Linked DNA regions of Drosophila melanogaster. The protein of the gene in region 2 purifies or fractionates together with the protein of the main gene of each other region. This does not show direct contact. Each region holds a gene or a part of one and is shown on either strand. Other genes may lie near its edges. The genes, in order: Ibf2, HIPP1, Ibf1 and CG10265.

What was found.
Region 1: the proteins of HIPP1 (region 2) and Ibf2 purify together in Drosophila melanogaster (affinity purification with mass spectrometry, with the first as the bait; one large-scale study listed by BioGRID). This does not show direct contact.
Region 3: the proteins of HIPP1 (region 2) and Ibf1 purify together in Drosophila melanogaster (affinity purification with mass spectrometry, with the first as the bait; one large-scale study listed by BioGRID). This does not show direct contact.
Region 4: the proteins of HIPP1 (region 2) and CG10265 purify together in Drosophila melanogaster (affinity purification with mass spectrometry, with the first as the bait; one large-scale study listed by BioGRID). This does not show direct contact.

The regions. Positions count from the first base shown.
Region 1 is NT_033777.3:9,257,227-9,264,296, forward strand, and holds Ibf2 (insulator binding factor 2), read right to left. Parts: upstream 1,276-7,070; 5' UTR 1,215-1,275; coding exon 1,030-1,214; intron 963-1,029; coding exon 560-962; 3' UTR 501-559; downstream 1-500. Other genes in the region: CG16736 (uncharacterized protein), read right to left, coding at 61-452; Ibf1 (insulator binding factor 1), read left to right, coding at 1,822-1,961, 2,028-2,115, 2,406-2,477, 2,542-2,730, 2,785-3,024; ATP6AP2 (ATPase H+ transporting accessory protein 2), read left to right, coding at 3,499-3,541, 3,765-4,117, 4,380-4,946; sage (salivary gland-expressed bHLH), read right to left, coding at 5,649-5,787, 5,849-6,516.
Region 2 is NT_037436.4:20,805,411-20,815,442, reverse strand, and holds HIPP1 (HP1 and insulator partner protein 1), read right to left. Parts: upstream 5,775-10,032; 5' UTR 5,641-5,774; coding exon 4,515-5,640; intron 4,463-4,514; coding exon 3,993-4,462; intron 3,920-3,992; coding exon 3,246-3,919; intron 3,187-3,245; coding exon 2,976-3,186; intron 2,920-2,975; coding exon 2,773-2,919; intron 2,718-2,772; coding exon 2,565-2,717; 3' UTR 2,111-2,564; downstream 1-2,110. Other genes in the region: CG3618 (uncharacterized protein), read left to right, coding at 1-1,923; CG3634 (uncharacterized protein), read left to right, coding at 6,466-6,604, 6,670-8,144; Spc105R (Spc105-related), read right to left, coding at 8,772-9,009, 9,069-9,521, 9,584-10,032.
Region 3 is NT_033777.3:9,253,086-9,260,900, reverse strand, and holds Ibf1 (insulator binding factor 1), read right to left. Parts: upstream 1,938-7,815; 5' UTR 1,854-1,937; coding exon 1,714-1,853; intron 1,648-1,713; coding exon 1,560-1,647; intron 1,270-1,559; coding exon 1,198-1,269; intron 1,134-1,197; coding exon 945-1,133; intron 891-944; coding exon 651-890; 3' UTR 501-650; downstream 1-500. Other genes in the region: ATP6AP2 (ATPase H+ transporting accessory protein 2), read right to left, coding at 134-176; Ibf2 (insulator binding factor 2), read left to right, coding at 2,461-2,645, 2,713-3,115; CG16736 (uncharacterized protein), read left to right, coding at 3,223-3,614, 3,735-4,176; CG16734 (uncharacterized protein), read right to left, coding at 4,189-4,314, 4,374-4,829, 4,886-5,041, 5,098-5,238, 5,303-5,539, 5,592-5,807.
Region 4 is NT_033778.4:14,989,987-14,997,402, forward strand, and holds CG10265 (uncharacterized protein), read right to left. Parts: upstream 3,850-7,416; 5' UTR 3,766-3,849; coding exon 3,526-3,765; intron 3,443-3,525; coding exon 2,660-3,442; 3' UTR 2,537-2,659; downstream 1-2,536. Other genes in the region: pcs (parcas), read left to right, coding at 1-1,087.

The DNA.
Region 1 (7,070 bases), on a different chromosome or scaffold from region 2:
TGCTGGTTTCAAAATTAAACCGGAAAATGCCTATTTATGTTTATTCGGCCATATTCTTACTTGCGCCTCTCGTAGGATCCGCGCGTAAGATCAGCTTGCCGAATGACCGCCAGCTTGGCGAACGGTGTTGCCAATACGCCGCCCCAAAATCCGGTTATACCCAGGACCATGCTAGTGTTATACGGCTGCAGCATTAGGACGTACTTGTTATCCTGTAAGTTGTAGAACAACGTGTACGTTGACATCGTGTGAACAGTACAGCGTAGACAAGCAGCCACAATGCCGTAATAAAATCCGGGTAATCCATGACGGGCCATCAGCCGGAACATATGGTTTATGCTTAAACGGCTATGGTGGATTACGTTCGCCTGCATATTCACACGAACTAGCTCCATGGGATGCGACAACAGTTGGGCCGTAGTCTTAATCAGCAGGCCGACGTAGACGGGCATCTTTATAAATTGTTCAATCGAACTCCCCGCATCACTATTATTCATTATCTAAATAAATTTGTATATTCTCAAGAAATTTAAAATGTAGTGTACTTAAAAAGCTTAGGCTACTCGCATTCAGCACGCAGTTTGGCGATCTCCAGCTGTGTCTTTTTCGCCTCCAACAAGGTGACGGTGCGTTTCAGTTCGGATATCTCGTTCATCTTGGTAAAGTACTCGGATTTGACCACCAGATACTCCGTTTCCGCCTTGATCAGATCCTTCTGCAGTCGATTGGCGTCGGATGACGGGATCACCAGTTGATCCAGATCGGTCAAGTAGCTCACCAAGTTGGATTCCTGATTGCGTGCACTGCTATCATCCTCGTCGATCAGTTTGTCCAGTAGAATATTCGAAGTGAAGTCAATTGTGGAGCCGGAAGAGCTCTGTTCTGCCGGAGCGGCGTCCGTAGCCTCCACCTTAATACCGAATTCAGCGGTTAGATCCTCCCGGAACTTGAGACATGACTTCCTGTATCCACATACATACATTTTACGGACTGTACTTGCAAATGAGCGGGAAAAATTATAATACATACCTATGGATAATCAGCCTGTCTATGCTGGTGTTTGATTGGCATTTCCGACAGTGGGTGCACAGCGCTCGGTACTTCTTCGGCTCCCCATCCTTGCCGCCCTTGAACGCGGGTAGAAAGCCCAGTTTCTTCCAAGTTTCATCCTTCGAAAGGCCCGAGGGTCGCTTGGCCTTTTTTGCTTGCGACATTTTTACATACGGTTTGTGTTAAATTACGTGACAGTGTTGCTGCTGTAAATTCAACCGATGTATCGATAACATGCCATCGAATTCTATCGATGGTCGCTTGCATTTGAATATTAATTATATTTTTACTTTTGAATCATCTGTGAAATGACTGAATTGTAAAAAATGACTTTGTCTGGGTCATAAATAACAAATTTTTGAAAAGAATAAGTTTAATATTTAGCTTTGTATATTTAACGATTAATTAATCGGGCAGTAAATAGTACCATGAATGTATCTGAAAATATATGCGTGGAACCTTTAAAAAATAGACTATATTGAAGGGCGTTCATATATTACAAATACATATAAGTAAAATTAAGAAGCAAATCCTTTTAAAAGTTTACTACTTCACCCGTTATATACATATAAAATTATTTCTGATCTTTATTAAATATCGTTTTGACTAAAAGAAACGCATCGAACTGATCAATATCAAAATGGTTTTATCGATATGTCGATACATGTCTATCGTATGCAAGCGTGGATTTTACATGCATCTGTAGTGAAGCCATTTTTATTTGCATCGTGTATAGTACATTGGAATTTACTGCGATTGTTGTATTTTAAAATGCCCCGAAAGAAGTCCGAGGATTTTTACAGAACCCACGGATTTACCGCCAATTTGGAGAATGGCAAATACTCGGCCACCTGTCACTTCTGCGAAAAAGTACTCCAAAATACGGCGCTATCCCGGCTATCGTTACACAGGTAACCATACAAACATACACCAAACATTGTGTTTACATGCGTCAAGTAATTCTCATTAAATTGTAGGCAAACCTGCGATGCCCGGCGAAGTAGAAGCGCTGTAGTGTACACTTCTGCCGACGAGAAGGATCATGACGAGGCTCCTAGGATAAAGGTAATTCGATGCTTCCAATTTGGATACATTGGATGTATGTATATGTCTGGTGTAGGACGTCAGTGGACAAATGCACTTCAAAATAAATCCCAAAGATACTTTGCACACTATAATGTCAACCCCAAGTAATTTGACAAATATTCGGTTCGAACTTTGTCCGAATACAATATATAGTGCTTAATGATTTGACTTTTGAAATTACTAACCCATATCGTCTCATATGAACATTCATATGTAAATTAAATGTTACTTATATATCGCTAATGCTCTAAAATATATTTTTTATGCAGATCCAGAAGATTTCGGGCGACGATGATGGCGGCCTGGATAATGCCAACGAAGGCAAGGAGATCATTGTTAAGGTGAGTAGGTGAAAAATGCGTAAACTAAATCAAATACTTACATTATGGTTATTTTTCATTCCAGATACAACAAATTCTGGACGATGCTGACGAGGCTGAGGCGCCCAAGGAGCAACCCAGAGTGAAACGAGAAATTCGCAAAAGGAAACTGACCAAAACGGAAGAGTCTGGCGAGCAAAATTTGGAATTTGAAATTTCCAACGTTGAAATTAAAAATCCCGAATACTCTGAGTACCTGGACGAAAGCAAAGAAGTAAATATTCACAATTTGATAAGTATCTTAGACATTTTAACGATTATCGAACAGCATTACATATTGCAGCAAAACCCGGATGACTTAGCCAATGGATCGGCGACGATCATCGAGGCCAGGCCAAGAAATGGTTTAGCTGCATTGCGAGCGGAAAAGGCGCGAGCCGAGATCAGTCAGTTCCAGAGTAAGACCAAGTTTCTTAAAACGGAAACGGACAATCTAAAAGTAGAGCGCACACTGACTTTGCTTAAGATTCAGAAGCTTCGATTGGAAATCGACGCCCTACGCGATTAAAATGTATTTTAACTATAGATAACTTTTAAATGTCCGCATGGTGAACCCTTAATTTTTGTTAAGATGACGAAAATGTCTGTCTTGAATTCAACATAGATTTATTACATTTAACTTTGTAAAGGTGATTACAAAATACATTATTTTAAGCCTGATTACTCGAATCTTTTTATTAAATAATAATGTAATAATGCAATGCTTACAAGTGTTATTAAAATCGATGTAATCTAATGCTTACATACATAAATATTACATACATCAAAATTATTGAATAAATAAAAATACATAATAAATAAAACTAGAAATACTAGTACAATCGATAGTTCGCACTCTTCGACAACCCTACTGATACCCATTCGATAACTGACCCCAAGCAACCCTGTTCATCACATGATAGTCAGGGTGATATCGGGGAAGAGAAAAGGTTTTCTTTGCAGTCGTTCGTCATATGATTAAAAGTCCAGCGGAAAACTGAAAATGTTGAGAGTTTTCGTGATTTTCTCGCTGTTTATAGCGGCCAGTAAGTAGATCTACCATCTATAATCAAGTAAAATGCATGCGCAGCAAGTGGAAAGCGGTCACAAAGTGGATATTCTGTACTCATCGATTCCTCTTTGGGGGTGGTGACACCCAGAACTCGGGACTCCAAAGGGCTCCCCACATGCATGCGCAGAATCTTGGACAAAGGAGACGAATATGTTAGATTCTACAGAACTTATGAGCTACGTCTTCCTATTTTGCAGTCAATGCCTCTGGCGAATTCACCGTGCTGAACCGTCCCAAGGCAATCAGTTTCAAGGGCAACGATGCACTGGAAAGCCACTACGTGGGTGATGTACTCTACGCTTCCATGGGCAACGCCGTCAGCGGCGATACCAACTGGAACGGACTGACCATCAACGATCCCTTCAACCTGGCCAAGGGCGTCATTCTGGTGCATGTCCAGGGCATTGGTCACGTGACCACCGCCGGCAACGTCAAGACCTACGAGCTGACAGGCTCCGGAACGGACGCCTCTCTGAACGCCCTGGCCGCCGAACTGGAGGCAGCCAACGAGCCCGTCTGCGATATTAACTTTGAGCAGTTCGACGATGGCGTAAGTGGTGTCTTAAAGGGGAAAAGCACATTTCGTTAGTCAGTTAGCTAATTTGTCAAACCGCAGAAAGCATGATCTTCATCTGAAAGTTCGTTTAAAGAAGCTTCTCTACAATCCGCTATAACTTCCCACAAATATGATAGATAGTTATTAAACCTTAAAAATTAATTAATCACATGATTTATAGAGTGAATCATAGTGCCTTCCCCCTTACGCATATAACGTAGAGACCAATGTATATTTAACCACATATTTTTTATAGGTTCAAGCCTGGAAGTCCTGCTTTGGTGATTTCGAGGCCCCAGCCGCCAAGCCCACCAAGCACCTGAACCCCTCTCTGCACACCGCTGACAAGCAGTTCCTCCAGGAGGTTGGATTCATCAACAGTGCCGCCGATCATCTGGCTGAGATGGCCAAGCCCTCGAATGTCCTGATGCTGCGCGTTTCCGTCGATGGAGTGGCCAAGGCTCATGGCGAGAAGTCCGTGGCCGTGGAGGAGGCCAACAAATTGCTGTCGGCCGCTATCAGCCGCCTGCTTGCTGCCTCCCAGAAGTCCAGCGACTCGGTTCTGTTTGTCCAGACCACGGAGAAGGACGTGGCAGCATCGCGTGCCAAGCGTGATACCATTGCCGCTTCCACCACCAATCCCTACAACCTGGCCGTCTACTACGGCAGCGACTACCCGGTGATCTTCAACATCATCCTGTGGTTCATGGTCGTCTTCGGACTGTCTCTGCTGGCTATCTGCTACGCCATCGCTGCCATGGATCCCGGCAGGGACTCCATCATTTACCGCATGACCTCTACCCGCATCAAGAAGGACAACTAAGGAGGAGCAGGAGGAGTTGAGAAGCGAGAGGAGCAGGAGGAGCGAGAGGAGCTTGCGTTACGCTTTGTTATTTCGTCCCCCTTTTAAGTTGAAATTTGCCAACTTCTACTTCAATCCAACAGCGGATAAATTGTGTGTTTGTGTGTGTGCGGACAGCTGTCGCAGTAGTTGGTTTTATTATCTATAAATAAGTATTAAAAAACTTTTCAGTTTTCAATGCAGTTGCGGGCGTCGCAACAATTCCATAGAAATTTGTTACATTTTCCTGTTTTGTTGTACTTTTTAGGTTTATATATATATACGAATATGCACAACATACTCGCCAAGTCAGTCAGTTCTTCAAACGATTCATCATATGTAAATTATCAAAATGTGAAGTGTTGAAAAGTAAAGTTAAATATATATAGCCTAAAAAGACAAAGTTGCGCCTGGTTTTGTTATCTAGTTTTTGGGGCAAATGATAATTGAAATCATACGTGGTATTCTTGATAATTTATTTAATTATTGCACTTATAAAAAGGTTAACATGATAAACTAATATAAAATGAAAGCTATTTCAATTTTTTTCTTCTCAAAATCGTAAAGTATGGACCTTAACTTTTATAGGTTCATGGAATGACTTTGGCAAATTGCGGATATAATATAACACAAGTTTTAAATTGAATATTTAAATGAATTCCCTTTGATATTCGTTAATTCAAGTTACGCTCCCCAATGATCGTTGCCATTATCATAAGGTGAACTACTTCCGCCGCTCCAGGCACAGCATCCATTGCCATTTTGACCCACGGAGCTCTCCCGCAGCATGGCCTGCAGGTGATTAATGTAGTTGATGGCAATCCTGGGTAGGCAAAGATCATATAAATATATTACAGAGCTCTACCGCAGATACTTTCACTTACCTCAAACTCTCGATTTTGGAGTACTTTTTCCCATTTGGCTTGGATATGGGTAGCTTGGAGCGCAGTAAGTCAAAGGCTCGGTTCATGTCCCGCATCCTGGTTCTTTCCCGATCGCAGGCGGTGCGTCTATAGTCCTTCTCCATTTGCAGCGCCTTCTCCCGCCAGGCGGGATTGTGCTCTTTGGCGATGTCCACCTCAGTGCTATTGGCTATACTACCGCCGCTATAGCTCATATACATGGGCGGAGGTACCAGCTCACTGGGTTTGTTGCATTCCAAGCCCACTGGCGAACCGGTGGCCACCTGGCCAGCATGCCACATCGACACCGGCTGAGGTATAACGCTATATGTGGGTGGCAACAGACCCATATTGTGCGCTTCCTTCTCGTAGCCACCCATCACGCTGGGTGAGTAGCTATGCGGATGAGTTGGCGCATATGCCAGCAAGCCTGCTCCATCCGCGGTTAGGGTGTAGTTGAGACTAACTGCCGGACAACTGGACGATTGAGGGGCACCGAGCTCTAGAAGAACGGGCTGTTCCGATGATTCCGCCTCGCCCTCGGATCCACCGCTCAAATAGGGTCCACCGGTGGTGGCTGATACGGGCACCAAAACTGGCGGTGGATCACCCGGTACGCCGGCCGTGGAGCTCAGCAGTTGATCCGTCATCGCTTAAGCCGCTTTTCGAATGACCGATCAAGAGTTCTGGCCGGACTGCAGCAGGTTTACCTGGACTCGGTTGGTTTTTTTTTTTTTAGCTTGTACCTTTTTGTTTTGCTTACTTTTAGTTGCATTAGAGACGACTCTGGCGATCGTGATGAATGGCTCACCATCGATCCATCGATTCGAGACGTGACTACTCATCCGGGGTTGATGAGGGCCACATCTCGTCTAGTTTAAGAGGCCACCGCTTTGTACGTGTGTCAACAGGTGATCTATAGGGGACCAACTTGTCGTCGAGGGTCCTTTTGTCCCATCCAATCGCTGTGCAAACAAAGCGGCTTAATTTCCTCGCTATTGTCCGATCGATCCGACTCCGACGGCTGCGAATGGTGATCGAGGCGCGTGTGGCAGGCTGGAGTTGCGTCCGACTTATGTCGGATCCCTCTCTGGGATCAGCGATCGACGATCGTCGCCACAACTTCAGTTTGAGTTTTTCTTTTTGATCGTCGCTATGTACAAACACCCACACTGGAACTCAGCCCATATGAAAGAGTGTATTT
Region 2 (10,032 bases):
TTGAGCGATAATGGTGGAGTGGGATCGGAGTTGTCCCACTTCAACAGTGATTTCGATGCGAATGCAGACAATGTAGCCATCTTGGGGGACCATAATCAGACCGGCGAGGATTTGTCCAAAAGAACCCCCATGTCACCGGCAAGGAAATGCTGTTTCATAGGCAGCCTGCTCCTGTGCTTCCTCGCCGTCGTATCCTTTGTATGGCTGGTGCCCTGCGGTAATCCTGATGGCACTGGATCCTGTCCAGCCGTCGGAGACCGGATAAAGACCCACAACTGGTTCAATAATTACACAAAGGCGGAACTTAAGGGAGGAATCAATGTGGTCGGTGGTCTAAGAGCCTGGGAGAACAACCTGATATTTATGTACCGCGGGGATGCCTTTTTCCCGGAATTCCGACCAGGTAACGAGCGGCGTAATGGCATCATCTGTTTGATTGGCTCCTCGGGAGCTGTGGCTTGGTTTGTGGAGATGGTTGATGAGCCTGTGGCCCTGGACTGCACCCTCATAGACATAGATGGCAATGGGAAACCAGCTTGCTTGGTACTGGATGAGTATGGCGAACTTGGAGCCATTCATCCCGTCTCTGGTGAATGGATCTGGTGGCATAAGGAGCGATCAGCCCGAAAAGTTGATGCCTATGACTTCCCAGTTATCCTGCCTGATCTGGATGCAGATGGAGTGCTGGACCTCCTGCTCGTGACTAGTTTGTCACTGGTACAGCGCACTAAATCGCTTGCCCAGCTCAAACATGAATCTCCGGAAAAACTAGAGGCTCGCAATGTGCTGCGCATGCTGTCGGGCAGAAGAGGAGCACCTATTGGTGATGGCTTCACCATTCACGACTGCGACACTCTCAGCAACTTGAAGCTCGAGGCGGGCAACGTGAGCTTCACCTGTCAGCGAGTCAATGACACAGAGCAGCAGCGTTCCAAGAGTCTGGCCGAGCTGTATGCCCTGATCACCAACAAATCTATTGTAAGCCAACGACTAGGCACCTCAAAGATCTCCCAGCATAGGAACCATGGCCAGCGGCGGGAACTGGATGCCCAGAGGAACATATATTCTTTAAGTGGACGGGAACTCGTGGTGGAGAACCGAGGACGCTGTCCGGAGGATTGCAATGTTACCTTTGTTCTCAGTGAAGTCCGCGATGGCAAACCCCATGTGGTGGAAAACTTCATCACGAGCAGAATGTACGGGATGAAGCCCGCCGAATGGCACTTCAAGAATACCAAGTCGCAAATGTCCGGCTTTGTGATGAAGTTCTGGAAGTGGCATGGCTTGGCTAAGCCTTCCAAACAGACTTCCGCCAGCAGTAACAGCAACAATGTGCAGAAGAGTGGCAGCAACAATCACACCAAGAACATGAATGCCATCAAGGATAAAGAAAAGTCTCAGGCTCAGGCAAAGAAACAACAGCAGCACCAACGTCTAAGAAGAAGCACGGAGGCGAAAGATCAAGAGTTTCAACCGGCTCACCAGGAGTTCGATTTCTTCGAGCATGTGAAGCAGAAGAGGGAATCATTCGGACTGCCATCTTCAACTATGAACCTGACCAAATCGAGTGGAATCTCTCCCGGCGGAAGCTACAAAATGAACATGATTACAGAAACCGTGCTGCTAGTGGTTTTCGTGGGGGCCGATACCCACATTGAGAACACCTCGCGAAGCAACATCGTCCAGTTTTGCCGTCACGACCGCAAGGAGGTGGTGTGCCAACCGGATCTGAACAACCAGGACCACTCGATGCTTGTCGCAGATCTCGACCAGGACGGATCTCAGGAGCTAGTCACATACATGTCCACCTTCGTGCATCCCGAGGATCAGCCGCTGAGCGAATGGAAACTGCTGACCTACGTCCGTTTGTTGCGCCTCCAAGCAGAGCTACCTTCCTACTTCGAGGACCACAAGAACAACTAGATGGGCATTCAGATGGCGATCAGGAACTGAGTTGAGTTATAGAGCATTTAGCCAGCAGAAGCGTGCTGTCGATCATAAATAGTAGTTTAAACTAGTTGCGTGCATTACATTGTACATTAAAAACCTTTTCTAGCCTCCCATAATAAATTAGTCGACAAATAGATTTCAATTGATAAGTTCCGTTTATGGGAGCTGTTCATCTTATTTTATTTATTATGAGGCTTAACATTTTTTTCATATAACACAAGATATATTGCATGGGATCTTAAACTCCATTGTTTGATTGAAAAGTGAACTATTTGGGAATTTCGGATGACGGAAAATAAAATTTCGAATTTAAAACGTGTAAGCGATAATTTAATTTGCAAACTTTCCAATCCCAGCACGTTCAACTAATCGAGTTACCTTTAAAATCCTAATAGAACAGGATATAACTCCTGCCTCCGAATTTCTTACAATTTACACAGCGTTCGTACTTTACAATGGGGTAGGAGTAAAAAAATTCTTAGGGCGATAGTCTCATGGTCCAGAATAAAACTCCTAAAAGGACTCAACTAAATGTATGAATTAATCTTTATATGGTTTGTATGGATGAATGTCTACCATTCCCAAATGGTATACAGTAACTATAAATCAATGCTCTAAAAATCAACGTCGTTAAGATAGCGTTTGAAATTGGCTAAGCAATCGGCAGTAACCCATTGCTCTCCTATAACCTTTAGTTCCTCATCCAGACGCGGGAATTTCGTGACATTGACGGCGGAGTGGTTGAGTTTCTTTAGTGTACGATACATCTGTGGGATTTTCAATATAAGTTAACTAATAATAACACTAGATGTTACGCTTTACCTCCGCAGAGCTAGTGGATATCTGTTTGGCTTTGGCCAGAGCCATTTCGTTGACATTTCTGGCCTTGCAGATCTTGTCAACGAAACTATTCGATTCCAAAAGTTCCGTTGCGAACAGTCTTTCACCCATAAGAAACAAACGCGAGTGCTGAACGATACATGGGATGAGCTGTAGATAAGCTTTATAAAAGACTGAATATTTACCACTTCACTGGAAACTCTTTGGTGACCATGCCACAGAGCATAGCCCTCGGGCAGCTGACCCAATTTGGCATAGTTAGTCTCGAAGCTACAATCATCAGAGGCCACCACGTAGTCAGCAAAGGGAAGCTGCATAACGCCCAAATTAATCTGGCTGCCAACAATGCCAGCCACCAAGGGTTTAGGAAATGTGGCCAGAGTGCGTAGATAGCATCTAAAATGTAACGGTTTCGTTAATAAGCCTTTTCTCAAAGATACATTTGAATTACTTACTTAAGGGCTACAGCCAGTTGACTGGCACTATCCTTTCGCTTCTCCAGGGAACCCTGTATCAGTTCCTGGCAATCGATGCCCTGACAAAACTGTGGACCCTCGACGGTAAGCAACACCGTGTTGAATTCGCCTTTGCGGGCAACACTGGACAGTGTGTCGTTCAACTGCTCCAGCAGCTGCTTGCTGTACGTATGGCCGAAGTTTCCTCGTTCCGTGTGGATGACCAGGTGAGCAACTTTGTTAACCTTGTGCAGGCACACCAGTTCGCTACCGTTGTTCGCCTTCATATCGTTAGCCAGCGTATGCGAGGAGGTATCTTCACCGCCCCTTTGGCTCGACTTGCTTACGGGCTTTACAAACTTAAATGACGGGTCCGAGCCCTCGCCTGCATCATCAGACAGATTGGCTGCTCCGGGCCTATTGTCCAGCGAATTTCGACTTACGGAAGCGTTGCTGGAGTACGAGCTGTTGGAGCGCCGACGCATGATCATCGATTCCTCGCTGGCGCGCTGTTTGTAAACATAGTCCCACGAGTCGGAAGCGCGAGGCTTACGGGCAGATGTGTTGGCGGTGGCCTTAGTAAAAACAGAATCAGCAGGCGTTCGTTTGGCGGCCGATTGTGCTGACTCTTTTTTGGGCGGTGTTGGTTCCACAGCAACTCGTGCTGCCTGGTTCTTGTATTGGAAAATCATAAATATTCGATAATCGATAATAGGTATCTCGGATTTCTATAGTAGAAGTACTTACCCTTCCGGTTATGGTCATCGCTCGTTTCCGCATCAGCGGCTTATTGGACACCTCACCACCACTCAATTCCCGCTGCTCATGCTCCACTGCATGAATCATATTGGCAGCTCCCTCGTCGCCCATCAGGCGATCGATCTCAGAGACCTTTTTCTTTTTTTGAGTTCCTCCATTGGCTAGACCTGTGTTCGGAGTTTGCGCGCGTCGTTTGACGGGCGAGGGACCCCGCTCTGTTCCTCCGACCGGAGTGCCAGCTTTAGTAGACCGAGCAGTAGGTGTAGCTGACCGTTTTTTGGGTGCCACCTCCTTCTTAGTCGTCGTGGTGGGCGAAATGCTTTTGACAGTTGTTTTTGGTGTGGTGGGTGCTGGACATGCCGCCTTCGTGCTAGCATACTGCGCAAACGATTTTTTCGTCTCTGGTACATCGGGGTCCCAGATTATCTTCCTTTTAATTACACGCATACGCTTGAACCCTAAAAATTCAGTTTGTAAGCAATGATTTAATGAATTCCAACTTTACTGTACCCGTAGTATGCTCTTCGGTTTCCTTGGGAGGTGACACAACGACAGTCGGCTTGGTTTTTTCCGCTGCTGCCCCTGTTGAGGCTGCAAGTTGCTTTTGGCTCACGGTCTTTAACATTACTTTTACTCCGCTGATCTTGTTGTTTAGCAAAATTGCCGAGTTCGGGCTGTGCTTAACTGGGGATGACAATTTTTTCACAGGCAGAGGTGGCTTCTTAGTGACTACGTGTGCTGAAGGCAGAGTTATAACTTCTGTCACCAACGCGGAAGCCGACTTGTCTTCCTCAGAGTCGTAGTCGTCCCAATCATCGTTCAACGAGCTGACAATATCTATCGGCGCGACCACAGAAGGCGGCGCAGGCGGCTCCTTACGACGCGACTTTGGCTTTAGACCGGCCATCTGCTCCAGAGCAACAGCTCTGGCTTGTTCCGGGGAGAGCTTATGCTTGGATATAGAAGGCAAGGAGTTAGATTTGATGGGCTTGGACGCAGGTACCTTGGGGCTGGCTTTTCGACTCGATGACTCCCCCTCGTCGTCGTCAATTTCCATGATTTCGAACTGCCCTTCGCCCTCGATGGTAACACCTACATCCCCATCTTCTCCAACGCCGTCAAGCTCGGAGAGAGCCTTCTCCAATGTGCACTTTTCCTCTCCCGTAGGCTGATCATGACTGGTATCCGTCCCCTTGAGCAGGGCAATGAGATCTACCTCTTCCAAGGGGGATTCGCTGGACTGGCCGTTGCCTGAGGCAGCGTTGCCTTCTTCGATTATTGGGGTTCGACATTTAGCTTCATCTGGGGCCTGGCGGGGCTCTAAGCCACCATTGTCTGCTAAGGCAATTGGTGTGTCGGAATCCTTAACTTCGGACGCCGCATCCGGCGGTCGAATGTTATGCAGCTTAGCTATCTCCCTCTCCAGAGTGCTCAGCTCGTCCAAGCCTGGACCCTCTTCAGATCCGTTGAGATTGGCCAGCTCATTCTCCAAATCAGTGGGACCCGCACTTTCCGAGAGTGTTTCTAACGCCGCCGTTTTTAGTTCTAGAGTCTCAACTTTTTCGACTCCTGGTGGTGGCTCCTCTGCTTGGGTTGACTCCAGAGTTGTCACCGCACTATCCGACACCTGCTCCATGATTCCACTGCCCCACTGATGGCTTTCCGTTCAACAGGAGTTCCAAATTAAGGGCTTTGCGTGCTTGTTTCAATCGGATTGGTCTATTATAAAAAAAAGTGCACTTGCAGCTCAGCGGCCATTTTTTGTAGTGGTGCGCAGGTGGATCTATCGATAGGCGTGAAAATATCGGAAAAAGTGGATGGTTCGAGAATTACATTTTTCATTAAATTTAAACAACAATTAGCATTAAATAGATATCAGGTAGTTCGCTTATATATTTTAATATGTATGACCGGTTTTGTTATTATTTGCTATTAGAGTAAGTTCTTAGCGTGATCGTAAGAAATAACTGTCGAAATATGTTGAGCACAAATAAGAACCAAACTATTAAAACAAATATAAGTAATAATAGATAACAGTGGGAAATGTGTATATCTCTTGGCCATGCAATAGACTTTAGATACATGCGTGGAATATTTCTGAAAGAAGTTGAAAGGTCTTCCCGCAAGAACTTTTCAGAGTGACCAGTACGTTCAGCGGCATTTAGAAGGCGACGAGAAACGGTCACGTTGCGCTGGTATTTACCCCCCGCTCATCCCCTTTCGAATACTTGATTGAAAAAAGTCTCATCAGCAGCAAGGATACGCGCAAGGATAGCGCCAAGAAAGGCAACCGTTAATTGATCTAACCCCTCGGCGGTGGTCAGTGCCAGAGCACAGAGTATCCGCGAACCCCCAGGCACAAGCTAATCCCGGAGAGCGGCAAAATCCGGACGGAGCTGGGGCCAAAGCGAAACGAGCGTCGAATACAGAACTTCGCAGGCAGGGGGCAGCAGGCAGCAGGATGTGGGATTCGTCCATGTTTCTCAGCACTCTGACGCCTAAGTTCTACGTGGCGCTCACAGGGACCTCCAGCCTGATCTCGGGCCTGATCCTGATCTTTGAGTGGTGGTATTTCCGGAAGTATGGCACTTCGTTTATAGGTGAGTAGTGGGGTTCCCCTTCCTCCGCTTCCTTCTTATTCTGTTTCACTGTCCCTGTTTCGCAGAGCAAGTCTCTATCAACCACATTAGCCCCTGGATAAATGGCAGCGATGGCCAATCAGAGTCCAGCAATGGCAGTGGCAGCAGCAGCAGCAGTGGCTCCAGCAGCAGCAGCAATGGCGGAGCAGGCGGAGGAGGATCGGGTGGAGCAGGGGCATCAGGCAGTGGCAGCGCCACCACAAGTACGGGCACCCAAATGCCCGAGTGTAAGGTCTGGCGAAATCCACTTAATCTATTTCGCGGCGCCGAGTACCAGAGATTCTTTTGGGCCACCAGCAAGGAGCCGTTGACCTACTACGACATGAACTTAAGTGCCCAGGACCATCAAACATTTTTTACCTGCGAAGGCGATGCCCGCAAGGAGGAGTATGAGATCATGCAGACGGCCTGGCGCGAACGCAATCCCATGCAGCGCATCAAGTCCGCTCACAGTGCTCTGGAAATCAATGCGGAATGTGCACCTGCCTATATACTGCTGGCCGAGGAGGAAGCCATGACCATTATGGAGGCGGAGAAGATCCTGAAGACGGCCCTAAAGGTCGCCGAGATCAACTACCGCAAGTCGCAGGCCACCCAACACCAGGGCGCCATTGCGGATGGCATGCATCGGCGCGACACCAATGTGCTGATCTATATCAAGCGACGGCTTGCCATGTGCGCCCGCAAGCTGGGCAAGCTGAAGGAGGCGGCTAAAATGTTTCGCGATCTCACCAAGGAGATACCCTCGATCATGAGCGTACTGAACATTCACGAGAATCTAATCGAAACGCTGCTGGAGATGCAGGCCTACGCCGATTGCCATGCCATTCTGGCCAAGTACGATGACATCTCGCTGCCGAAATCGGCGACTATCTGCTATACAGCTGCTCTGCTGAAGGCGCGCGCCGTAGCCGACAAGTTTTCGCCAGACATAGCATCCAAGCGAGGTCTAAGTCAAGCTGAAATGAGCGCCGTTGAGGCCATTCATCGGGCGGTGGAGTTCAATCCGCATGTGCCCAAGTATCTGCTTGAGACAAAGCGACTTATTCTACCGCCAGAGCACATTTTGAAGCGCGGCGATTCGGAGGCGTTGGCCTACGCGTTCTTCCATCTGAAGCACTGGAAGCAGGTGGAGGGCGCCCTGAACCTGCTGCACTGCACCTGGGAGGGCACGTTTCGCATGCTGCCGTATCCGCTGGAGCGTGGCCACCTCTTCTATCCATATCCAACATGCACAGAGTGCGCGGATCGCGAACTGCTGCCGGCGTTCCACGAGGTGTCTGTTTATCCTAAGAAGGAGCTGCCCTTCTTCATCCTGTTCACGGCGGGACTGTGCTCCATTACCGCCCTGCTGGCCTTGGCCACCCACCAGTATCCGGAGCCCATGGGTCATTTGGCACAGACCGTACTTACCTGGATATCGTATCCATTTCAGCTGCTCAAGGAGCGTATCGAGGCGTTCTGGCCGTGCAATCTGCTGCAGCAGTTGTCTCGCGTCTAAGCCGGAGGTCACACACTCCTCCACTTTCCACCCTCGAATGACGTCACACACACTCACACAAAACTAAGAACACCACACATACTCACACGCATCCATCTCCATGTGGCTGAGAAGCAAGCGGGCAGAAGGCCACGGAACCACTCAAAACACAAACCTTAAACACAAAACATACATATATATATATATATATATATATATATAACGTATATATATTTTGGATCTTAATATGTCTGTGTTGTCTTCGTGAAATAAACATAAAGAAAGCAAATGCAAGCAAACACGCACTCAACTAGTTCCAGCTTCCAAGTGATCCGGATGAACGAAACGAATTTTCAGCAGCCACGCAAGAGGAAACTAAATTACTTTTAAGTTTTATTATTATTTTAATTATTGTAAACGAGTACGAGAAGCGAGTAAACTTAAATTCAAACAAAATCCTTCCTTGCTCTTTATTTGTTTTATTTCGTTCAAAGGACTTATAGTAATGGTTGCTCTTATAAATAAGCTCGATTTCAGTGGAAATCCTTGCCCATTCGCATACACTTTCAATGTGAATTCGTTAAAAAACGCAGACGAATGCATTTATTTTAATTTAAAACAATTTAAAAGGTAGTCTAACATACGCATTTATTTTCTAAGGTACTGCTCGGGATCGGTGAGAAAGGCTTCGAGGAAAGGAATTCCCTTGGGCAGATACTGAATGTTTTCATTGAAGAGATGCAGTTCGGGGCGTAGGATGTCCGTGAAGGAAACGTCCTCAATATTACCGATTTCAATAAGGAAAGTGATCTTCTCGAGACGCACGATGGGTTCCTGGTCGATGCACTTTCGCACTATCTTTCTGACAATAGTTCGATTTGCTTCTCTAAAAAGGGATCACTTAAATTAGTAATGTATTGAGATACACCTTGGAGAAGCTTATACCTTGTTAGCCTCGCTCTCTTCTGCGCTAGAAGATCTAAAACTTTGTGTAACTTTTGCTTGACTTCTGCAATTCTGCGATCAATGCCGTTGAGAAATTTCAAGAAAGCCGTCTCATCACTGCCCTCGATCTCGTCGCTAGGATTCATCGGCAGGCGGAGACTTAGGTGGAAGTTTAAAAAGTGTTCACGCGATGACCATTGGTCCTTGGGAGTGGGCACGTCATTGTCTAGTTGAATGGAACACACGCTAATGGTGGACTCCTCTACTAAGTCTTCGATTTGGTAGTTCACCACGATTCGGATCGTGGTCAGCTGTCGGTTGTAAAATATCATTTGCTGGGACACTTTACGCTGGTAGTCGAAGATCCAGTTGGGCTGCTGTTCGGTTAGCAAACGTTTGAGTCTCGTAAAGAAGGATTCCGGGGGCATGGCTATGTCCTTCTCTTCTGTTCTTCTGTTGTAGAAATAGTAAATGTTAAAAAATGATTCAAAATTCCAAGTGTATTCGGTACTCACAGCTTGCACATTTCAAGAAGCGCCGCTTTGTTCCACTTGGTGGCCTCCTCCTCCACCCTGGTCTGCTCCATTGAATCGTCGGAGTCTTGGTTCCTGGACAGACGAGCCTCCTCCTCGATCTCCCAGTAAGTGTTCACTTCCTTCCACGACGGCCTCTGCCTTATATTGCGCAACCGTTGCTGTAGCCTTGAAAAGTCCCACAATTTCCGAGGTGGCAGGACAAATGACTCGCTACTTAGCCTTGTTTCGCTCAAAGTATGATTGCAATTCCTGCACTTTTTGCAGGAGCCTTCGCTGCCAGCTTTTACCATTGAATTCAGTTGAGCCTCGCAGATTTCAGGTTGTAAGAGATGCTGTTTTTGCTTCTGCTCTTCTTCCTCCTCCTTCTCGTCGCCATCATCGTCTGTTTCCTCCGCCAGCGTGGAAACCAGACTTAGGTGCTCGTTATC
Region 3 (7,815 bases), on a different chromosome or scaffold from region 2:
CCCTTTGGAGTCCCGAGTTCTGGGTGTCACCACCCCCAAAGAGGAATCGATGAGTACAGAATATCCACTTTGTGACCGCTTTCCACTTGCTGCGCATGCATTTTACTTGATTATAGATGGTAGATCTACTTACTGGCCGCTATAAACAGCGAGAAAATCACGAAAACTCTCAACATTTTCAGTTTTCCGCTGGACTTTTAATCATATGACGAACGACTGCAAAGAAAACCTTTTCTCTTCCCCGATATCACCCTGACTATCATGTGATGAACAGGGTTGCTTGGGGTCAGTTATCGAATGGGTATCAGTAGGGTTGTCGAAGAGTGCGAACTATCGATTGTACTAGTATTTCTAGTTTTATTTATTATGTATTTTTATTTATTCAATAATTTTGATGTATGTAATATTTATGTATGTAAGCATTAGATTACATCGATTTTAATAACACTTGTAAGCATTGCATTATTACATTATTATTTAATAAAAAGATTCGAGTAATCAGGCTTAAAATAATGTATTTTGTAATCACCTTTACAAAGTTAAATGTAATAAATCTATGTTGAATTCAAGACAGACATTTTCGTCATCTTAACAAAAATTAAGGGTTCACCATGCGGACATTTAAAAGTTATCTATAGTTAAAATACATTTTAATCGCGTAGGGCGTCGATTTCCAATCGAAGCTTCTGAATCTTAAGCAAAGTCAGTGTGCGCTCTACTTTTAGATTGTCCGTTTCCGTTTTAAGAAACTTGGTCTTACTCTGGAACTGACTGATCTCGGCTCGCGCCTTTTCCGCTCGCAATGCAGCTAAACCATTTCTTGGCCTGGCCTCGATGATCGTCGCCGATCCATTGGCTAAGTCATCCGGGTTTTGCTGCAATATGTAATGCTGTTCGATAATCGTTAAAATGTCTAAGATACTTATCAAATTGTGAATATTTACTTCTTTGCTTTCGTCCAGGTACTCAGAGTATTCGGGATTTTTAATTTCAACGTTGGAAATTTCAAATTCCAAATTTTGCTCGCCAGACTCTTCCGTTTTGGTCAGTTTCCTTTTGCGAATTTCTCGTTTCACTCTGGGTTGCTCCTTGGGCGCCTCAGCCTCGTCAGCATCGTCCAGAATTTGTTGTATCTGGAATGAAAAATAACCATAATGTAAGTATTTGATTTAGTTTACGCATTTTTCACCTACTCACCTTAACAATGATCTCCTTGCCTTCGTTGGCATTATCCAGGCCGCCATCATCGTCGCCCGAAATCTTCTGGATCTGCATAAAAAATATATTTTAGAGCATTAGCGATATATAAGTAACATTTAATTTACATATGAATGTTCATATGAGACGATATGGGTTAGTAATTTCAAAAGTCAAATCATTAAGCACTATATATTGTATTCGGACAAAGTTCGAACCGAATATTTGTCAAATTACTTGGGGTTGACATTATAGTGTGCAAAGTATCTTTGGGATTTATTTTGAAGTGCATTTGTCCACTGACGTCCTACACCAGACATATACATACATCCAATGTATCCAAATTGGAAGCATCGAATTACCTTTATCCTAGGAGCCTCGTCATGATCCTTCTCGTCGGCAGAAGTGTACACTACAGCGCTTCTACTTCGCCGGGCATCGCAGGTTTGCCTACAATTTAATGAGAATTACTTGACGCATGTAAACACAATGTTTGGTGTATGTTTGTATGGTTACCTGTGTAACGATAGCCGGGATAGCGCCGTATTTTGGAGTACTTTTTCGCAGAAGTGACAGGTGGCCGAGTATTTGCCATTCTCCAAATTGGCGGTAAATCCGTGGGTTCTGTAAAAATCCTCGGACTTCTTTCGGGGCATTTTAAAATACAACAATCGCAGTAAATTCCAATGTACTATACACGATGCAAATAAAAATGGCTTCACTACAGATGCATGTAAAATCCACGCTTGCATACGATAGACATGTATCGACATATCGATAAAACCATTTTGATATTGATCAGTTCGATGCGTTTCTTTTAGTCAAAACGATATTTAATAAAGATCAGAAATAATTTTATATGTATATAACGGGTGAAGTAGTAAACTTTTAAAAGGATTTGCTTCTTAATTTTACTTATATGTATTTGTAATATATGAACGCCCTTCAATATAGTCTATTTTTTAAAGGTTCCACGCATATATTTTCAGATACATTCATGGTACTATTTACTGCCCGATTAATTAATCGTTAAATATACAAAGCTAAATATTAAACTTATTCTTTTCAAAAATTTGTTATTTATGACCCAGACAAAGTCATTTTTTACAATTCAGTCATTTCACAGATGATTCAAAAGTAAAAATATAATTAATATTCAAATGCAAGCGACCATCGATAGAATTCGATGGCATGTTATCGATACATCGGTTGAATTTACAGCAGCAACACTGTCACGTAATTTAACACAAACCGTATGTAAAAATGTCGCAAGCAAAAAAGGCCAAGCGACCCTCGGGCCTTTCGAAGGATGAAACTTGGAAGAAACTGGGCTTTCTACCCGCGTTCAAGGGCGGCAAGGATGGGGAGCCGAAGAAGTACCGAGCGCTGTGCACCCACTGTCGGAAATGCCAATCAAACACCAGCATAGACAGGCTGATTATCCATAGGTATGTATTATAATTTTTCCCGCTCATTTGCAAGTACAGTCCGTAAAATGTATGTATGTGGATACAGGAAGTCATGTCTCAAGTTCCGGGAGGATCTAACCGCTGAATTCGGTATTAAGGTGGAGGCTACGGACGCCGCTCCGGCAGAACAGAGCTCTTCCGGCTCCACAATTGACTTCACTTCGAATATTCTACTGGACAAACTGATCGACGAGGATGATAGCAGTGCACGCAATCAGGAATCCAACTTGGTGAGCTACTTGACCGATCTGGATCAACTGGTGATCCCGTCATCCGACGCCAATCGACTGCAGAAGGATCTGATCAAGGCGGAAACGGAGTATCTGGTGGTCAAATCCGAGTACTTTACCAAGATGAACGAGATATCCGAACTGAAACGCACCGTCACCTTGTTGGAGGCGAAAAAGACACAGCTGGAGATCGCCAAACTGCGTGCTGAATGCGAGTAGCCTAAGCTTTTTAAGTACACTACATTTTAAATTTCTTGAGAATATACAAATTTATTTAGATAATGAATAATAGTGATGCGGGGAGTTCGATTGAACAATTTATAAAGATGCCCGTCTACGTCGGCCTGCTGATTAAGACTACGGCCCAACTGTTGTCGCATCCCATGGAGCTAGTTCGTGTGAATATGCAGGCGAACGTAATCCACCATAGCCGTTTAAGCATAAACCATATGTTCCGGCTGATGGCCCGTCATGGATTACCCGGATTTTATTACGGCATTGTGGCTGCTTGTCTACGCTGTACTGTTCACACGATGTCAACGTACACGTTGTTCTACAACTTACAGGATAACAAGTACGTCCTAATGCTGCAGCCGTATAACACTAGCATGGTCCTGGGTATAACCGGATTTTGGGGCGGCGTATTGGCAACACCGTTCGCCAAGCTGGCGGTCATTCGGCAAGCTGATCTTACGCGCGGATCCTACGAGAGGCGCAAGTAAGAATATGGCCGAATAAACATAAATAGGCATTTTCCGGTTTAATTTTGAAACCAGCAAATATCTATATGTGTATCGTTTAATCTTCCAAAGCTATGAAAGTTAACCCTTTTTTGTAGCTATCGAAATTTCTGGAGAGGACTCAAATGTATGTACGCGAAGGGAGGATTTACTTACCTATTTACCGGTTGGAAAATAAACTCGATTAGTAGCACAGCCGTGGCCGTGCTGTATACTCCTATTAGTGATAAGGTCCATACAGTGATATCATGGTTCCACAGACTCGACGAGCCGTGGCTTAGCGATCTCATAACTATGGCGCTAACAGGCAGTATTATCACAGTCATTATGACACCAGTGGATGCGTTGGCTACTCTAACGTTAAACGAATCCTCACACTATGGCCGCACTTCCTATCCATATCTGTATCGGAAAATTATCCGAAAACATGGCTACAAGGGCTTCTTTTTTGGATGGAAACCGGCACTAATGGCCCTTATCCCACATACTGTTTTGGCAACGTTTGTATATCGCTTCTTACTAGATCGCTATATAACATAAAGACCCCCATATTTATTCACAAATCTTGTGGTGCACAATTGACAGAGCCTCCTTGAATTCTGATAGTTGGGCGGGCATTGTTTCGGTTATCCCGTTTTCCAGTTGGAAGCTAAAGACTTCGATGAACCGCGAAACGAGCTGGGAAAAAATTGATCTGTTAGATGTAACCAGAAATATATATAGACATAATAACATACTTTTAGAACTGGAGGTGCCTTCTCGTGGGCCACCAAACATTCCATTAACACAGCCACAAACTTCCCGTAAAACTCCGGCAGGTGCGGATGCAAAGCTTGCAGAGGAATAGGCATGATGCAAACCAGATAGCATCTTAGCAGTTGATCCAGTAAAGCAGTGCATACCTCGACACCTTGGAGCAGCTTGCTCGACTCCAGGACAAGCATTTGTAGGATGGCCTTGGCCCAACGATAGCTGGTGCTAACATTTAGAGCAAGGCATACGTCCCGACACGCTACCAATTTATCTGGTTCGCATATATCCATGGCCAAAGCAGTTTTCACATCGCTGCGATTGATGGTGAAGTAGTATCCTAATCGGATGATATACTGCAGCAGGCAGATTAAAACTTTTGGGCTGGAGGCCATTGTCACGTTCTGAATGAGGCGTTCCAGCATGTCGTCGCATTGGTTCCACTAAAGTTGCCATCATATTTATGTTCAGTAACTAGAGTAAGTTTCAAGGTACACACCGTGAAAGCATCTAGATCTACAAAGTGATCAAGACAGAAATACAGGCAGTTCCAAACAGATTCGATGGCTTCAATTGAGTCCATGTTGTAGACATCCTTGAGGGCATGGTCATAGATCACACTGTGCACGTTCAGTTCCTGAATGTCCTTGGAGTCCTGAAGGATGAAGTGTTTCATTGAAGGTCTTGGCGCTAAAGTGGTCTAACACGTACGCTAAATTTTAACATCACTGAGAAGATCTTGACCCCAAGTTGCTTGTAGATAGTATCATAGCATTCGCGCACATTAAGACCCACGGATAGTGCAAAAGCCAACATTTGGGTGGACATTGCGGATTTCTTTCCGTAACGAAGCTGCGGGATAAAGTAAGTGAACAAACTGGACTATCTGGATAAATATTTGTCTGTTAGTGTATACCTCTAGATATCTGCCGAAACCATGCACAGCTCCTAGTTGTCTCTTCCAGCAATCCCTGTGCAGTTTCTTCTCGTAGTATTTCAGGAATTGATCATCCGTCGACTCCCACCAATGGGAAGACAGCTTACTAGCCAAATCATTAGCATACTTCAGGAGATTACCAGAGTCGTCCTTTAGTTGGTAAATTGTAGGCGAAGCTGTCAATTCGCAAATCAGCAGGAGGAGCTTGAATCTTAGCTGAAAGTTAACTAGATTGTAGTCGTGGAATTGAGTGTTTGCAAAGCACAACCTCTTCGTGTCCTGCATCACCACTTTTCAGGAGGAATTCCTGCACCAAATCGTAGAGCTTTGGCAGATCCTGGATAAGTAGGGAATGGTAGCTGTCGAATTGCGACGTCTCCAGCTGAATGTTGTCCAGGTCCTCCTTCAGCTCCGGCAGCATATAAAACTCCAACAGCTCACACATGTGAGTGGCGAGCGCTTCGGTGGTATCATCGCAAGTCATTTTGTTTTCGAAAATCTCTTTTAAATTATGTAGCATCCAAAACGTAAACAGAAAAGCCGGCCAAATCCGATAACACTCGGCAACTATCGATTTAACAGAATTTTTTAGATAACTTTTAACAGATGTGAAAATGTTAGTAGAAATGACTTCGTCACAATACTTATTTTTAAAAAGAAAACATTTTAGTTTTATGTTGTTGACGAACATGAAAAAATTCATTTTATTTTCACAAGTATTAGAGGAAAAGGAAATACAGAATCAGTGGCACCCTCTTTAATAATTAAACTGAAATTATATATCATTTGTATAATTATAACTTATTATTTTTTTTTATTATTTTCTCTACAAAAAGAACATATGTTTTGTTTTTATTTTTTTAAACAGTTATAATATTTTTCTAATTGGCCTAATCAGGCGATATAGTAAGACTTATCATAACCATTGGCAGTCATTTCCTGGTCAATCCAATTTCGAATCGATGATACGTTGGTCATGCGGGTTGGTCCCTTGAAGAATCTGAACACCACAATGCCACTAAGCTGGTAACGATTTTCCGAGGGATTTCCAAGGGGACAGGCCAGCGGTCCACCAACATCGTCGTAGGCTATTTCTACGCCTGGCTGGCCTGCAGCGCATAGTATGGATGTGCTTAGTTAAAAGCTCCAAATATTGATAGCAAGTGATCGCGACACTTGCCAGTATCCACAATGCGCAGTGGCATCCGTTTCATTATGGTTGTGTATTGGCCCGAGTTACCGAATGCATTCTCTCCCCATCCATTGGCATAGCACAATGAGGTGGGTGGTGGAGCAGCTTCTTGGTCAGGTAGACATATCACATTAATATGATCGTTCAGTTCGAATGATTGCTCGAGGATTAAGAGTGCCGCGTTACAGCATTTGGGATGCTTTATAATTCTTTGCACCCTTATCTCTTGAGACTGTAGAAGCTCAAAATTTTATTTTAAGTCCAATATCCCAGCACGAACTGTGTAGTTTTCACAATTTTCAACCCGGTAGGTGACAGTCATAACCACCCGCGGATGAATAAGTGTGCCTGCAAAGGAATAGTTACCGGTCTTCATTACAGCCACTGTCCAGGGAAATTCGCCAAATTCGGATTTATACTAAATGCCAGCTGGGATATCGTTTAAACCACCGACATTGAGAATTCCACAGCCTCGTTTTTGGCTTTGGGCTCGGACTTAAAGTCGTTGTTCGTAATCGATTGTAGGGACAACATAGTGCCAATATATCTGGACAGTGGATATTTTGAGTATCCAAAATACCATCCGACGGCGGATAACATTGGTTATAAGGCACACACTGGCAATTTGGAGCAATTTGGAGCAATTTGGAGAGCGTCCACACTTTTTTGACTTTCATTCATAGGCGAGCGTGGATTCAGGACATCGGCATTTGATCTATTCACTAAAAACTTTAAAAAGGTTTGTTCTCGCATTTTTCTCTTCTTCAGAAGCATTTAACCTTTGGGCGCTCAGTTTTGAAACAGCACAAAATACGACCAATAGTCTTAAGAATCCAGTCATTTTATCTGGAATATGAGTCACAAATTTTTTATTCGAATTAAAGAGAATAATTTCTTAATGTGAAATTTATCACTAAAATTTACTTTCATATATTCCAAGAAAGAATATCTATCCAGGAAGTTTTTAAATTGCAATTATCTAACCTTATAATTATAGTTTTATACGATTATGGGCTTCTTCGATTGTTTCCTTGTTCATAAATACCTCGTTTCCAACAATAATTTTAAGAAATTTTGATTCGCTTAGAGTTGTAGAGAACTGAATCTTGAATCTCTGATGGTTGTAGTGTTCGCAAGAGCAGTTTAGAAAAGACTGGTGGTCTCAGATTTAAACACAAACCTTGTTAATTTTATGTTTTTATGTTTTTGAAAGCTTAAATGTTGATAAAAAGTGGAAAAAAAGTTTTTAAAGACAAGAAATTAAAAAAAATTGGTAATTTAATTTAATTTACGGATAAGT
Region 4 (7,416 bases), on a different chromosome or scaffold from region 2:
CGAATGGCAGTTCGACAATGCCTGGCAGGAGATGCTTAACCATGCTACCCAGAAGGTGATGGATGCCGAAACGCAGAAAGCCGACTGTCATGCTGAGCACCAGAGGCTCACCAAACTTTTTAACGCCGCCGAGCAAAAGCTGCAACAGCTTGAGGATCGTTTTCGTCGTAGCATCAACAAGTCACGCCCGTACTTCGAAGAGAAGCAGGTGTGTCAGGATCAGCTGCAGACACAAAAAAACCGCATTCAGGAGCTGCAGCAGCAGGTGGCCGGTGCTAAGAGCACCTACTCCACGGCCTTACGCAATCTGGAGAGGATCAGTGAGGATATACATAGGCAGAGGGGAGATTTTCCCACTCCACCAGGACCCCGCGAGCCGGGTGTGGGAGCAGAGTTAAACTCTCCGACTTCCAGTGCCTTGCCATCACTGCCCGATTTCCAGCTGGAGCTTGAGAAGTGCGACTATCCCTCCATAGCGGGCAGCCAGATGTCTTTGGGCGCAAAAACTCCCCAAGCAGCTGCCGAAACTGAAGATGAGGAAGATGCCTGCGACTACGATGAAACGGGAGCCGGGGAGCTCAGAGGTGTAGTGGATGAACGCGATTTGGAGGCGCTGCGACAGAAGGTCAAGATCCTGGCGGTGCGTCCCATCGAGGGCGGAGATGGACAGCAGCAGAACGATGTGTGGGAGCATGAACTGAAGGCCACGGTGGACAAGCTGGATCACTTGATGATGCTGAAAGAAACAGCCAAAAGGCAGCAAACGAACCGCTTGAAGTCCACCGAACAGCGACCCGATTCATTGGGCGCCGAGGCCTTGAAACGCCACTGCGATGTGGTCGAGGTGAAGGTCACCTCTTGCGCCACCACAGCCAGCTTGCCAGTCACACCCCATCACCAGCTGAATCACCTTGCACCGCCCACGCCCATTAAGAAGCTGCAACAGCAACTGGCGCCCTTGCCCTCCGTAAACGTTTCCATGCGGGAGTTGCCCCTGTTGGCCAGGTTGTCCAACGAGCTCCTGGATCGCAGCAGTGCTGCTTTCGGCGGAGTGCGCAAGACGCTGCGTAGGCGCTCTCTGGAATAGTGAGCAACTAGGGGGCCAGAGGAGACTTCTTCAGCCAGCCCCATATCAGATTTGTTTATATTAAATGAATAATGAAAAGTAATTGTAAAACGTTGAACGCCGCATTTAAATGTGCACCACTATCGATAAGTCTCTACACCCACAGGATATAAACACCAACTATTTTCGTATAAATGTTGATTACATTCTAATCTATTGTCTCCGTATATGTTTCTCACTGTTAATACTTTAACTATGTAAATGTTTTGTGATTCGAGAGAGCTAAAAAGAAAAGGATTGAATGATATGCAAACAATAAGCAGCTTTAAGTTAATGTTAAAACCCTAAACTAATAAACCCAGGTAGACTCACTAATTTAATTCAAATGGGCACATGCACTAAGTAGTTTAGCCTAAAAATACCACGAAAATGAAACTCTGAATAAAAACAAGTGTCGAAATGTAACGAATTCAATTAGATAATTAAGCCTGAAACTCTCAAAGCTAAATGTAGTGGATTATTAAAAGGAAAATGCAATGCAGTTTTGTTCGGTGCCCGAGAGTTAAGTAAGGAAATGAACTACAAGTATTTGAAATAGAAATAATATTGAAACTTGAAATGAGAATAAAATTGAATTCTAATTCAAATTTATAGGTGTTTTACTGGCGGATTAAATGTATATTAAATTATAAGTGCTTTAGTAGTGGGACGTACCAAGATTGTTAAAAAACATCTGTTTTTTAAGTCTGGGCTTGGTGACCTTTACAGAGAACTAAACTTAAGGTTCGCTGTCAATGATGCAACTGCAGCCGAAATATTGCAAATATTATAAAATTCACCAAACAAAACACAAGCGGTTCTAAAAATTTCAAAATGATGTCATTTTCACTGCATTGAATGCCAAATCTAAGGTGGCAAAATAAATATTCTGTCCCCAAATTATGTAAGCCCGAATTGGCTGCCATCGTCGTCAGCTGACCTACCTTTTAATTGGTACCGCCTCGGCAGGTGGGTGTGCACACGCGAATTTTGGATTTGGATTCGGCAGTGTTTCGAGTACTACAAAATATATATAACGCCGGGCGCAAGCACAAATATTTCCAATTACTTTCGACCGAAACGCGTGCGGCACCAAAAATCAACAAGCTGCTTCTTCTTCTTACACAGTGATGCCAACTTTTCAGCTACATAAATGGACAACATAAAAAAAGCTAGGACTGTTAACATTTTGTATGGAACATGTGATTACCGTCTTCAAAGTATTTAAACGGCATTGTTTGAGTGATATATAGTTTTAATTATTTAATATAGTTCAATACATTTATAAGCTAAATAGCCACCACTAGTGTATAGTCGATATATTAAATCGATAACGTTGTCGCATCAAAAGGTCACACTGCTTGAGCAAAAAAACCAAAATAAAACATTTAAAATTAAGCGATTTGATAATAAAGAGACTCGCTTGCTATTAAAGTTATAAACGCTATCCGGGAATTTATTAATCTCCATTTAAATTAAATAAAGTTATATTGCTAAATCCTCGCCTCCAGAGGCACATTTAATGGCACCATCCTTACACTACGGCGAATACAACTACGATTTTCTTACTTTGGTGCATCTGATGCCCTTGGATTGCAGTTTTCTCATGATGTCCAAGGTCTCTTGATTTTTGGTTGGATTTAGCTCAGTCGTGGCATTCAATTGGGTACTTGCTCGCTTCACCTCCACACCGCATGCTCTGAGTTTGTTTAGGATTTTCTGGGTGCCATCCAATGGAGGAGTTGATTTGCTTGTTATGGTAGGAACTGGTTTCTCGGGCGTCTTGGGAGGTTCTGGTACTTCAGATATCCTTGAAGAGACTGGTATAATAAGCTTCGATGCAGGAGAAAATTTCATGGGTACCAATTGAGATGTTGACTGCGTTGTCCCGGTAGCACGAGATTGCAATGACCTTACAGGATGTACAGGAGCTGGTGGTGCCTCTGGAATCCTTTCCTTTTTCTCCGTGTCCTGCAATCGCTTCAGATCTTCCAGCACAGTGGGCACCAGAATGATGGCCTTTTTCATCTTTACTGCTGGCGGTTGAGGGGAAGTCAAGCAGGCACGGGATCTGCGCTGCTGCTGGGAGGTCAGAATGGTACGTCGGGTGGTGGGAGGGCTACGCGGACGTTTCGCAGGCACCCCTTCCGGTTCCTGAGGCTCCTTGGCGAGCGGCACTACATCCTCCTTTACTATATTTTCCTTGGAATTTGTCTTTGGTATGGTCTGCACGGTGGGCTTGGGATTGGTGTACCAGCGTGGATCCTCCAGCTCTGCCTCCCAATCGATGGCCGTGTTGGTGTTCTTCTTAACCGCCTCCAGGTCGTAGATGTGAATCTGCAAGAAGTGAGTTCAATCAAAAGGATTCTCAGGAAGTTTTCAGGGCAACGCCGGATCATGGAGCTCCCTTAGCTGCCTACCTCCTGTCTGCCATTCACCAGTCTCGTTTCCCGATTGGCATCATCAAATGCCAGCGGTTCGATCGGCGTTACTATGTATTTTACTCCGGGGCAATCGGCTAGGTGGCGTTGGAACGATTGGAGCGTCATAAAGTGGCATTCGCAGCTGCGGCACAGCGTTAGAAGTCGTTTTTGGTCGTCGTATAGAACGTCGCCAAGGCGAATCGTCTTCATGGACTTTATTTTACGCGATCCATTCATTTTTTTTGTAGCCAATTCGCGCCAAGAAGAAAAATGGTATTAAAAAATTATTTCAGTTTGTTTTTGCATTCGTGCAGAGTGGCCAGACGTTGAAACGTAGTAGATGTCAACGATTTTTAGTTGGTACAAAATCTGACATAAAAATACCAAACAGTTGCTATTCATTTTGTTGCGCGCCTAAATTCAAAGCACACAAAAAACCAAATAGGAAAAACACATTACACATTAAAAAAAAAAACATTTAGATATAAGATTTGATAAGGATGACGATATATAAATGGTATAATAAAATGTTTGGAATAATTTAATATAAATATTATATAAATAATTTATGTTTATATGTAGTTTTGCTCAGATTGATAAAAAATAGATGAAAACATACTTTCACTATGTAAAATAGAACGATTTTTTTGTTTACGGTTTTTGGTCCATGAATCGAAAATTACTGGAAAGATTTTATTTGAACTGCTCCTGCTCATTTTTTGCTGCATTAATAGTAACTCTCTGCTTTCTTTTACATTGTCGAATAAGTGGACTAGCGTTTTCTTTGTTCTTTTTCCCGTGTTGGCTTTTGTTTCCTTTGATTAACGCCCATGCAATTGAAATTAAATCGCTTGCAAATGATTCGCAAGCTACCTAAAAAAAAATTGGGCAATCCAAAAAATGACATCGTTTATGCAGCCGGGGACTGCGCCATTTGTAAGCTTGCCATTTTTTCGACCAATGTGATATGGAGCCATATGGAGGGAACATTGTCTGATTTTGACTTCAACTCGAATGTCTGTCTAGTGTGTGTGGAAAACAAATGAAAAGGAAATCCAGCACTTTTTGCGTACCTACATATATATTAAATTTTTTTTTTTTGTTGTTGTAATGTTCCGCATAACGAGCACGGACCATGTCGAACCACGTGCAGCATAATCACCCGGCAGAGCGTAGGTGAGTATCGTTGGCATATTCTTGATATTTTTCAAACTGGCCCACTTTTGGTTGAATTTTCCTGCTATTCTTGCAACTTAATAAGTGAACTTTAAAGAGCCGCATCGCTTACAGCCCGGAAATTGTATGGATCTGTGGGTCGCAGCTCCAGCGGCAATTGGATGAAGTTGCCGATGCTGATGAGGCTGCTCCTGCAGTTGCTATTCCTGCATGCAATTAAGCCAGGGACGAGAGCGAGGCACAACTTGCCACTCTGTGTGTCCCAAAACTGCAAGCTGACCATGCAAATTACGTTGCCCACACTCATACTTGCACACGCTCTGCTACACACACGCATTCCTGTCGCCTCGTTTGGGGGCCTGCGGGGCTCCCCGGCATTTGAGTGATGCACCAAGTCGAGGAAGCGGAGAAGGTGGCCAGCTAGCTGGAACCCCATTGCCGCTGCCACTGCCACTACTACTACTACTACTAACTGCCACTGCCAAAGCTAAGTTAAATGGACCTGCGGTGCACTCGAGCAGCCAGGACGCAAACTACAGTGGATACCGCTTAAAGTATATAACTGTTATTATTTGTATTGTTTATTGTACTGATCCTAAATAGAAGATATTAGCTTCCCTTAAAACGCCTGACTGTGCTGTGATGCTTCTACACAAATTAGACACAATTCGAAACTAGCTTGTTGGCTGCTAACAGTTTGGATATAGCCAGGCACCACTGTACGCCGTGCATGCAGATTGAAGTGCAGACCATGTCAAGGTAGCGGCTGCAGCTTTGGCCAGTAGATTAAATTAAACGTGGCAAAGGAGACGGCGCCAGAAGAGGACGAGCTCCGTGGCTAGGTGGCTCCATGGCTCCATGGCTGCATGGCTCCGTGACTCCGAGGGCTCGCCAGCCAGCCAGCTTGCCAGGAGGAGCAACTGCAGCCATGCGATGGCAATGGCAACGGCAACGACAATGGCAACAACATTAAACGTGTTTACACCATGTCCGACCAGTTGATATGCCAACTGCCCCCCGACCTGTCCTGCACCCCACCACACACACACACACTCACTGGCACACACACACACATAGGGATGCGTAACCAGGCATGAACTGCTCTTGGACAATGAACACATGCCATGGCAGGGCATTACCACCTACCCATCTGTCCGCCCAGCCGCCCACCACCCACCACCCGTCCACTATTGTCCTGCTCTTTGTTTACTGTTTTTCAAGGGGTTTCGCAGCCGAGTGAACTAGCAAAAAAAATGAAAGCAAAGAATCACAATCACTGCATACTTGCAGGTGCAGCTGCTGTCATAATACAATAGAAAAGCTGGCGCTACAATTGCCACAGATGTTGTTGTTGCTGTTGTTGTTGATGTTGGTGTTGTTGCTGTTGCATTGTTGTGGACTGCGAATTAACTAAGGCCACCCCATCACAGTTCTCTTCCCCACTTTTCGCTGGCACTATTTTCAACATCTTGGCCGTGCGACCACGTTTTCGTACAAAAATGTTGCATACTTTCCGCAGCTGCACAACTACATATATGTATATAGTGTGTCACAGTATGTGTATTTGTGTGCGAGAGTGTGTGCATGTGTGAGTTGTGTCGCCATGTGTTAAGTAAGTTCGGACAAGTGGCTTTTCCAGGCATTTTCCAAGCACCTTCGCCCGACACTTGTACTGTCACTTAAGCCAAGCATCAAGAAAATGTCATTTTTCATCTGAAAGTAGTGCACAAAAACATTGATTGCAACACACAGTGCCGTCCTTTTGGTTTCACATTTGTGGGCATTATCAAATCGTCTTGGCTTTACTGCCATTTAATTTCATGGTCGGAATTATTCATTCCATTGGCTTGTATAAAATAAACCTACTCTTTTCAATTAGCAAGCTGTGAATTACTTTATTGGTATATACAATAAATAATAATTACAAAACGGAAAAAAATCATGCCTAAAATGGGATAACACTATGCATTATTATCTGTTGAGAACAAAAGTTAGTTGTTTTACCTTAGATGGAGCATTAAGATTAAAATTATTTATTAATATCTTTAGAATATTAATATTTTCATTGACTTTAGTTGGTGCGGGTTAAAAATTAAGAACGCCACAAATTCTGCTGCGTAATACAACTAATGGCCACATTTACAATGACAAACACGGTTGTGTGTTCTAGGCCAACTTTTCCCAAGCGACGGACCAAGTTTGCCAGTAATATATGTGGGGGCATTGTTGGGCTTTCAACTGGTAACTGGTAATTGTAACTGGTGACTGGTGACTAGCAACCTGGAAGCTGCAAGTTGCAAGTTGCAACTGTCTCACCGTCGTCAGTTTAGCCGGAGGAATCAAAGTCCAAATATTACGCTCATTTATTGACCGACGGCAAACACAAACGAGAAGTCAAATGAAATTGCTATAAACGATGGACCGATGGAACATAGAACTTTTCCCCCTACCCCACCGCTCATTTCCACAGGACCTCGTCTATTGACAGGGGCATGTGTTTGAGTTCGGGCGAACTGGCGGACTTAGGTAGATGGAATTCGGGGGAAGATAACTTCCTGGCCATATCCGAAGCAAGTCGTCCTCAATGGAACCGGGGCCATCTAGCCCAACCAGCCCATCTAGGTGGGGCACAACAATTGCAGGAGATCGGCAATTTCCTGCTTGCCTCGCAGGCAACTTGATTACAAAGCACAAAAATCAATAGGAAATGCA